Linked DNA regions of Kluyveromyces lactis. Each later gene encodes a partner of the first gene's protein in a complex. Links are inferred from orthologs where the notes say so. Each region holds a gene or a part of one and is shown on either strand. Other genes may lie near its edges.

The links.
Region 2: PHO23 (region 1) and SDS3 share a complex: the UniProt entries of both Saccharomyces cerevisiae proteins name them as parts of the RPD3C(L) complex. The link is inferred for Kluyveromyces lactis from reciprocal best matches to the Saccharomyces cerevisiae genes PHO23 and SDS3.

The regions. Positions count from the first base shown.
Region 1 is NC_006039.1:1,141,915-1,147,281, forward strand, and holds PHO23 (Pho23p), read right to left. Parts: upstream 2,922-5,367; coding exon 1,746-2,921; downstream 1-1,745. Other genes in the region: Ras family GTPase RAS1, read right to left, coding at 88-927, 1,248-1,262; CRC1 (carnitine:acyl carnitine antiporter), read left to right, coding at 4,005-4,991; alpha-1,2-mannosyltransferase KTR1, read right to left, coding at 5,231-5,367. UniProt on the Saccharomyces cerevisiae protein: Component of the RPD3C(L) histone deacetylase complex (HDAC) responsible for the deacetylation of lysine residues on the N-terminal part of the core histones (H2A, H2B, H3 and H4).
Region 2 is NC_006041.1:773,435-777,436, reverse strand, and holds SDS3 (Sds3p), read left to right. Parts: upstream 1-1,392; coding exon 1,393-2,352; downstream 2,353-4,002. Other genes in the region: DNA-binding transcription factor CRZ1, read right to left, coding at 1-432; KTR5 (putative mannosyltransferase), read left to right, coding at 2,787-4,002. UniProt on the Saccharomyces cerevisiae protein: Component of the RPD3C(L) histone deacetylase complex (HDAC) responsible for the deacetylation of lysine residues on the N-terminal part of the core histones (H2A, H2B, H3 and H4).

The DNA of each region.
Region 1 (5,367 bases):
CTTTTTTTCGAGGTGATCGATTGGACATAGAGAAATATAAATGACCGAGAAAGTAATTAAGATATTAAACAACCGGCACTTCAGTATCTAACAAATAATACAGCATCCAGAACCACTTTTATCATTTTCAGAGTTTTTAGAGCCAGTCTGAGTCTTTCTTTGGTTTTCTGTGGTTTTAGAGTTCTTTTGAGCAGAAGAATTGGTAATTTTATTGTTAGAAGGTACATTAGATTGAGAATTTTGATCTTCTGCGGCACCTGCGGACGCAGAACCATTTGCTACGCCACTGGTAGCCTTAGTATTAGTTTTGCCAGTAGTTCCTTGGTTAGTAGCACCAGAAGCCTGGCGTTGATTCTCCAGTTTAGCAAGTTTATCCTTTTCAGCATCTGCTCTAGCGCTACTGCTGCTGAATCCCTTACCCTCATCTCTGATTAGACGAACCAACCCGTAGAAAGATTCTTCGACGTTGATATTTTGTTTTGCAGAAGTTTCCAAGAACGGAGCGTCGAATTGTTTGGCCAAAGTTTGACCTTCCTCATAAGAAACTTGTCTTTCGTCCTCAAGGTCAGACTTGTTACCAATCACAAACACAGGAACATAATCCGAATCCTTGACTCTTAGAATCTGCTGATAATATGTCATCAATTCTTCAAAAGAAGTTTTCGACGTAACGGAATAAACCAATAAGAACCCCTCCCCAGTTCTCATATACTGTTCCCTCATTGCTGAATATTCTTCTTGACCTGCAGTATCTAAAATATCCAAAATTGAGACCTTGTCATCAATGACCGCTTGTTTTCTATAGGAGTCTTCGATAGTCGGGTCATATTCGTCAACGAAATGCGATTGAATTAATTGGATCGTCAACGCCGATTTACCAACACCACCGCCACCAACGACGACTAGTTTATATTCTCTGATATTGCTCTAAGGTGTCACAGCAGGGCTGCGAGAGAGAAAATAATGTTCAAATAATACATGCAGACAGTGCTGAAAGACAATGATGAATTAACGACCTAAAATTAAAGGGAAACCCCCTGAAGAGGAAGCAAATTCACACCTTATCATCATATTTCAACAAAGTCATCGGCATTGCATCACGTATACTCGAACATTATTTTAATTGAACTGTTAGTATACTTTTGTCAAATCTCAAAGACCCAATGTTACCACGAAGTGAAATGTACAAAGAAGAGACAAACTGAGGAGATCAGAAGCCATATTCCAGCACACACACAATAACATACTTTATTTAACGACATTTCGCAGTGTACAAATGTAAATCCCTCACTATTTTAATCTACAACGAGGTCCCTCTTTTCCCTATGATATGAGCAATGATTGTGCATAGGTGTTGTCAACGTACATAAGTAGAATTTAACAAAGCTTATTATTATAAGGTACAACAAAAATTTTTTTTATTTTTCTAAATTTTTATTTCAAATTCGGTAAGTATGCGAAAAGAGACAGATTACATGAATTGAAGGAACCCTTTTTTTCTCATCAATACGATGCTGCTGCTTGCTTATTATTATTTCTTTCGACAAGAAATGGAAATGGAAATAGAATTTCCCAAAAAAATGATGCTTGACCAGATCAATTATATTCTCAGTAGTTGCTGAGATCGAGGTTGAATATCTCAAGGGTTTTTTTCCTTTTGCATTTATGCATCATGAACTGAGTGACGAGACAGTGATATATATTATATTTATTTCCGGTGGTAAATATTATGTTGGTGCAGCTAGCTAATTCTTTTTCAAACAGTCATCGCAGTACCATTTCCCTTTAGGTAGCGTTTCCAAGCCAATGCAGGGAAGATGGAACCATTCTAATTGACAGTTTTCGCCATCACATCCAACCATTTCTCCGTATGCGACCTGATTACAGTAACAATACAGTGCTTCTCCATATTCGTTGATCTTTGGTCTGTTTTGATACTTATTTGATGCGTTGACTGCATTTACAGCTGTCGTGTTACTCCCGGTAACGCCATTGTTAGCAGCCGTGGTGTTTACTCTTTTTTTGTTCCTTCTTTGTGCGGCAGTACTATTTGCAGAAGAGTTGTTATTGTTTGAACTAGATGTTGAGACAGTAGTTGTCCCGTTGTTATTTCTCCTTTTCTTAGTGTTCGCTGGTTGTATATCATCTGCATGAGAATGGCTATTGTCATTATGGTTGTGGTTATGCGCATTTCCGTTCTTATGACCTGCCATAGTGGAAGAGCGGTTGTGACCATTTGTTTGAGTGTTTGCTCCTTGGTTTGGAGCATTTCCATGTGATCCTACCGCCGCAACTACTGGTTCTGATCCTGCGACTGCTGTGGAGGCACCGGTTCCAGAAGTTGAAGTAGAACCAGCTGTGGATCCGACAGAACCTGAATTTGCCGTTCCAGCAGCGTTCCCACCTTGAACAGCAGTTCCCCCAGTTGTCTTCTTTGCAGCCATGGCTTCTCTACGGGATTCACTTTTCAGTGCTTGTTGAGACTTCGTCATTACATTTGATTCGACCTTAGCCATAAGCTCACGATGCAAATGCATCGCTGGATGGTTATCGTTACCTAGTCTTAACTTCTCTGGAATCTCTTGATTGGAAATAGCAACCTCGTAGGCTAATTCCAACCTGTCCGTTAACCTTTCTAAAGAATCGTAGGCTATAGATGAAACATGCATCTTCTCTTCCAATGACGGGATCAGCTCTTGAAACCATTGGTTTATCACACGTAGAGGAACCTTGGACTCATCAGGAACGTTTCTCCCACCAAGGAATCCTTTAATGCATTTATTTAGTTCAGGAATTATATTAACGCATTTAGCATCAATTTCATAGAGTAGAGTCATGTACCGTGAAACGTCTAATGGCACCTCTTCCAATACATCACTAATATCATTAAGACCAGGGTATAAATTTGCAGGTGCTGCCATATCTTGAGTTGTATTGTCTATGTCTCGCTATCGTGATATGTAGTACAGCTTGTGATTCCTACTGGATTGAGAGATCTTTTGAATCACACAAATGTCAATACACTACATACAACATGTAATTGTATTGCGTGCACTTATCCGGTATGCTAAACAATTCTAGTTACCTGACCTAAAAGAAAAGGTATAAATTTGATATTCAAAGCTTTTAATAAGACTAAGCGAGAACCTGAAGAAAAGAAAAATAGATCACGTGAAAATTATTATCACGTGATTGGTATTAAATAATCGTTTTGGATTCTAAGTAGGTTATACAATGGAAAGCTCGGGGTTTGTTTGATTACGATCATCCGTGAAACCCTGTCCGCAATCTTTTGTTTATGTTTTTTGTTTTCACTGTTGTCTCCTTCCACCTGTGTCACATTTGTCACTTCATTTCCCCCGCTCTAAATAGAAAAAAAAAAGGCGATTAGAATTTTGCTGACACTAAATCCTGTCGGCATCGGGTAAAATAAGGTAAAAAGGGAATATGTATCAGAAATAATGAATGGATCACGCAGGGAAACAGCCGCAGGGATCCCGTGCGAATTTGGAGATGTTCCAGCACATGACCTTGTACTTAAATTGTAGAGTATCTGTTCTTTCATTTGTTGTCATGCATTCAGGGCTGATTCTATTTCTAACGGCCAGTCACACAAAATGTTGTACTGATTCCTTGTATCAATCCTAGATTATCTCTACAAAGTCCGTTAACTTGAGAATTTTTTTGGTGATGACTATAATGATTCACCAAGAAAGTCACAATCCTGGACCAAAAGAAAATCCTGAATGTTTGATGATTATGATGATGATATGATGTTAATGATCAGCAATATCATGGCTAATTACTTTCATGAGGAAGAGAAACGTTTTTTTTTTTTTTCGTAGATATATAAATCACAGCCTTTCGGTGCAAACCTGAAGCATACACTTAGATAAGAAGAACATTCAGTACCGAGGTATATGAAATTGGTCTGATCAAAGTGCACCAAAGCTAACGTATATATATACAGTATCACTTCGACGAACACTATTGAAAAGGGAAAAATGAGTGACGCCTCCATTGAAATTGAATTGGAAACATCGCATGTTAATGATGTTTCCCAAACAAAGTCACAATTAACAGAAAATTTGAAGTCATTAGCTGCAGGCGGTGTTGGAGGTGTTTGTGCAGTGTTGACCGGACATCCTTTTGATTTGGTGAAAGTCAGATGTCAATCAAACCAAGCACGTAGTGCCATGGATGCAGTCTCACATATTCTACAAGCTGCACGTCAGGCAGCCGGTCCTACTTCTTTGAATGCAGTGCGTGGGTTTTATAAAGGTGTGGTCCCTCCATTATTGGGTGTTACTCCAATCTTTGCTGTGTCCTTCTGGGGTTATGACGTAGGTAAAAAATTGGTCACGAGTGTGCCCTCTTCGGCGGCTAGTGGTGCCGCAGCAGTGGAACCAGAATTGACATTGTCACAGATGGCAGCAGCAGGGTTCATCAGTGCAATTCCTACTACGTTAGTCACTGCACCCACTGAACGTGTTAAAGTTGTCTTACAAACTACTCAGGGTAAAGCTTCGTTTTTGGATGCTGCCAAACAGATAGTGCGCACACAGGGTTTCCAATCTCTATTCAAGGGTTCTCTAGCGACTTTATCCCGTGATGGGCCAGGAAGTGCGTTATACTTTGCCAGTTATGAGATTTGCAAGGAATATTTGAATAAGGCAAGCGGACATACCTCAGGAGAGTTGTCAATTACCAACGTTTGTATCAGTGGTGGTATGGCAGGTGTTTCTATGTGGGTAGTAGTGTTCCCCATTGATACTGTGAAGACACAATTACAATCATCTTCCAAGCGTCAATCGATGCTTGAAGTGACGCGCATGATCTACAACACAAGAGGTGGTATTAAAGGGTTCTTCCCTGGTGTTGGACCTGCCATTTTGAGATCATTCCCAGCTAATGCGGCCACTTTCTTGGGAGTGGAGTTGACCCATTCGTTGTTCAAGAAGTTCGAGCAACAAAAAACTAGTTCAATTTGAACTGGACCCCTCTATAATGATATTATTTATGCACTTCCGTTACGACAACTTCTTTTGAAAGAAATTATTTAATGAATATAATACAATAAAAAGCCTTCTGTTTGTTGTCTTGAGAGGAAGAAAAAGTCCGACTTGGATCCTTCACAGTCCTCCTATAAGACTAAAAAAGAAGAAAAGCGTTTCTTGTTACACGTATATTTTATGTATGGTTAGTGTTATATTTTTCTCCTCGTTTGAATTCATGTGAAGTTTTGCCAGCCCTCAGGTTTCTTCAAGTTTCTAACGTTGTAGAACTGTGGAGTACAGGAGTAAGATTTCCAAGTGAAATCATCACTTGGGGAGCAGACACATCTGTGATCCCTTCTGAATGCATCAG
Region 2 (4,002 bases), on another chromosome or scaffold:
GAACAAAAAAGATGGATCTGTGTTTGGTATATTCAATTCATGTGACACATATTTATTAGCATTTCTACCGTTGTTACGGTTGACGCTAGGTGGCTGCTGAAGCTGGGCGTTACTTTTCACACTGCGATTAAGCATATCGTGAGCCAGGACACCATTTATACTAAGACTAGGGATTGAAGGTGCGTTTTTGTTATTATCACCAGTTTCTTTCGAAAAGGAATTCGCGACACTGAACCCAAACTCCTTAAAACCTGACAGTATATCACCACCGAAGTCAGACAGCTTGACACCACATTTCCTACTATTATTCATCGCATTGAAACCAGGCGCAACCTTCGACCCTCGAGAATTGTCAGAATCTTCCGGATTTAACAGTACATTCGCACCGATGTCACTGGGACTATCGACATTCAAATAATCGTCAATATCCATACTGTTCTCTCAGTCAAAAAAAAAAACAACAAAAACAACTCGGAATACAAGTCTCAAAGTCAGGTAATATTATATCCAAAGGGGAAACCAATATGTTTTTCGAAAACTCTGTTCTCTGTTCTTTCTTTCCTATGAACTGGAAAGACTGAAAAGAAGAGCTTTATAAAATCGACACACTTATAACGTCGAAATTTAAAGTATTAGAATATTAGGGGTAGTTCAAAGCACCGCAAAATTCAGCGATTTATCTGTACTAATAACACACAACACTGATGTGTATCACAGGCTGCGTACCACTGTTTTATCTCTGAATTAGTCTCACTATTTCACTTCTATTCACCTAACAAAAAAAAAATCACATCGTCATTATATTATAACTTAACTTACTTTTTTTTTTTTTGGGAATTTTCCCTTTTCTTTACCAAAATTGCCAAAAGTTCAAAGCCTTTAAAAACTTTCAACACACTTAAAGCCTGCACTTATACCGGCCAGCTTTAAGCTTTTCTTATCTGAAGCTGCGACTTTTCTGCGGGGAAATGAGATGGAAAACGGAACATAAAAAATTTAAAAAAGAAAATGGTGATACTTGCAATGAATAAATCAGTGTTATGGGAGCATTGAGGTTCGAACGGCAGAAGCATGGCATTTTCTTGTTTGTCTCATTTGATTATTATTATTTTTTTTTTTTTTTTTTTAAATCAGAGCAGCTTAAGCAGTTGTACTTTGTACATACTTTATACATAATTTGTACATAATTTGTACCCAGCTCATACGTTGCACGATACATGTAACGAGCAGCACATTAACTCGTTGTGTTAACGTTTTCAATTGTAATTTTTTATTCTGTGTTAGTAATTTCACAGGATAATTGGTAAGAAACGATACCGGAGAGTTTTTCTGGTTTCACTTTAACAATTATATCAGCTTTTGCAGTAAATACAGCTTCTCCCCCCGAGGAACATGGATGAAGTACAATATTCTATGATGAGCAGCGGTGTGAAGAAAGGTCAAGGAGCGAAACAGAATGGGGGTGCTATTCCCGCAGGTGTTGGGCAGGATTTGAGTAGGAAGGATAAGAAGCGATTACAGTTTGAAGGGAAAGTGGGAAAGATAAGAACGTCGTTTGCAAAGGATAAAGATGTGCATTATAGGGATAGGTTGACTCTGTTACAGACAGATTTAACGACGCTGCATCAGGGGAATAACCCTGAATTTCTGAGGAAATTGAGGGATCTTGAAGAAGATAGGGATTTGGAATTAGTTAGGCTCAGGCTTTTCGAAGAGTACCGGATTTACAGGTCCAAAGTAGAGTTCCAAGAAGATATTGAAAAAGCCAAGCAAGAACATGAAAGGATGATCAAATTGTGCAAAGAGATGTTGTATGAATCCCTACAGAAAACTATCAAGAAATTGCAAGAGGAACGGCTACTTCTGGATGTAGCAAACACACAGTCTTATTCGATGGATTATTCTCGAGGGAAATTCCAGAAGCAGACTAGAAGCTCAACTCAAAATTCAGCCAATTTTTCGGCTTGGGATTCGTCACCGAACGATGTCAGCCAAACAGAAAGTGGCAATGAGACTGGTAATACTACCGATAGGAGGTCATTGCGTAGGCGTGCTGCTACTAATCAGAATAGAGCTCAAACTCCTGCAAACATTACACCTGCAAACGGAAGCGGGAAATCAAGCAATACTAATAGCGATGCAGAGTCGATGCAATATCTGAGCGATTCATCAGAATTACAGGCTTTATTGTTCGGAAAGGAAAAGGAAAAGGAAAAGAAGATGGGTCGAGGTCACCAAAGACTTTCGACAAAAAGCGCTCCTATTCTTCAATCTTTAACTCCGGATGAGGTTACTGATGATATATCTTTGATAAGAAAGCTAACGGGCCAAGTACCAGCCCCATTCAAATGAATATCAATAGTTGGATTTATCTTGTAAATCTGGTCTGGGGTACAAGTGAAGAAACTAAAATGTTACCAGTTTTTTTTTTCTGTCATCCAATATTTCCCAAACTGCTTAGGTCCCAAATACTATCCGTTATTGTCAGTCTTATACCTTGTATTTTTAGTGTATCTCATGTGTAATACTACTACTTTATAATACTGCGTATTTTTTAATGTATGCACAAAAAAGTGAACAGAATCTGAATTTTGATATTTCAGTTATCTATTGACGATGATTTATGCGCAATACGCGATCCATTTATAAACATAAACTCAACAGTCGATTAAAGTACCAAGAATATTAGTATAAAACCTCATTCTTTCATCTTCAACTATTGGGACGTACACATTCATCTTTTCCACTTTTTTTTGCATGATTACTGATAGTTTCCATCTTATCTCATGAGGAATAGAACCAGAAAGCTACTGATAGTGATAACAATTGCACTTCTAATTTGTGTTGGTGTACACCATATTGTGCGAACGGAAGAAGCTGCAATATGGGAAGATGCTGTAGTCTACTCCTCAGCGGATCGCGCCTCTAAGAAGGAACATCCCTTCTTTGAAGGGTGTGTGGATACTGCAGAATATCTAAATCACAAAAAATATGAACGACAGAATGCCACATTTGTGATGTTAACAAGAAACGAGGAGCTGGATGGGGTAATTCACACTATGAGATCTGTGGAAAGAAGATTCAATCAATGGTTCCAATATCCGTACGTTTTTATGAACAACGAACCATTCACTGATGAATTTCAAGAAAGAGTCCGATCATTAACAACTGCCAACATAACGTTTGCCCTTGTAGATGAGTCCTCATGGAATTTCCCTAAGGAGAACACTCCACTATTTCAGCATTACGTTGAATCCCAGGGTGATCGTGGAATTATGTATGGGAATATGGTTTCATACCATAAGATGTGCAGATTTTATTCCGGACTCTTCTATAAACACCCTGCAGTTAGGCAATACGAGTGGTACTGGCGTATTGAACCAGATGTGGAATTCTTCTGTGATCTAACTTATGATCCATTCTTTGAAATGAAGAAGGCAGGAAAGAAATACGGTTTCACAATTTTTATCAAAGAAATATATTGGACTGTGCCGAACTTATTTAGAGCAACCAGAAGTTTCATCAAGCAAAACGATATCAAACTCGGATCACTGTGGAAAGCCTTTATTAAGAATAGAAACGTTTTACTCGGAGATGATTATTTAAATTCCTTTGTCAATGAACTAGAAGAATTGAACGAAGAAATGACCCACGAATTTCTGATTGACTATTTGAAGAAGAATTGGGCAAGAGAAAAAGTCATAGATGACGAGCTAATACAAGAAATTGCTCATAGGGTCAGGAGGAAAGTTCCTGTCGTTGAAGACAAATTTGACCAAGAAGAGTACAATTTATGTCATTTTTGGTCCAATTTCGAAATTGCTAGAGTTGATGTATTTGATAATGAAGTATACAACAAGTATTTCGAATACCTTGAGTCGTGGGGTGGATTCTGGCAAGAAAGATGGGGGGATGCGCCTGTGCATTCGTTAGGTTTGGCCTTAACATTGAATGCAGAAGACATCCATTATTTCAGAGATATCGGATATCAACATACTACAA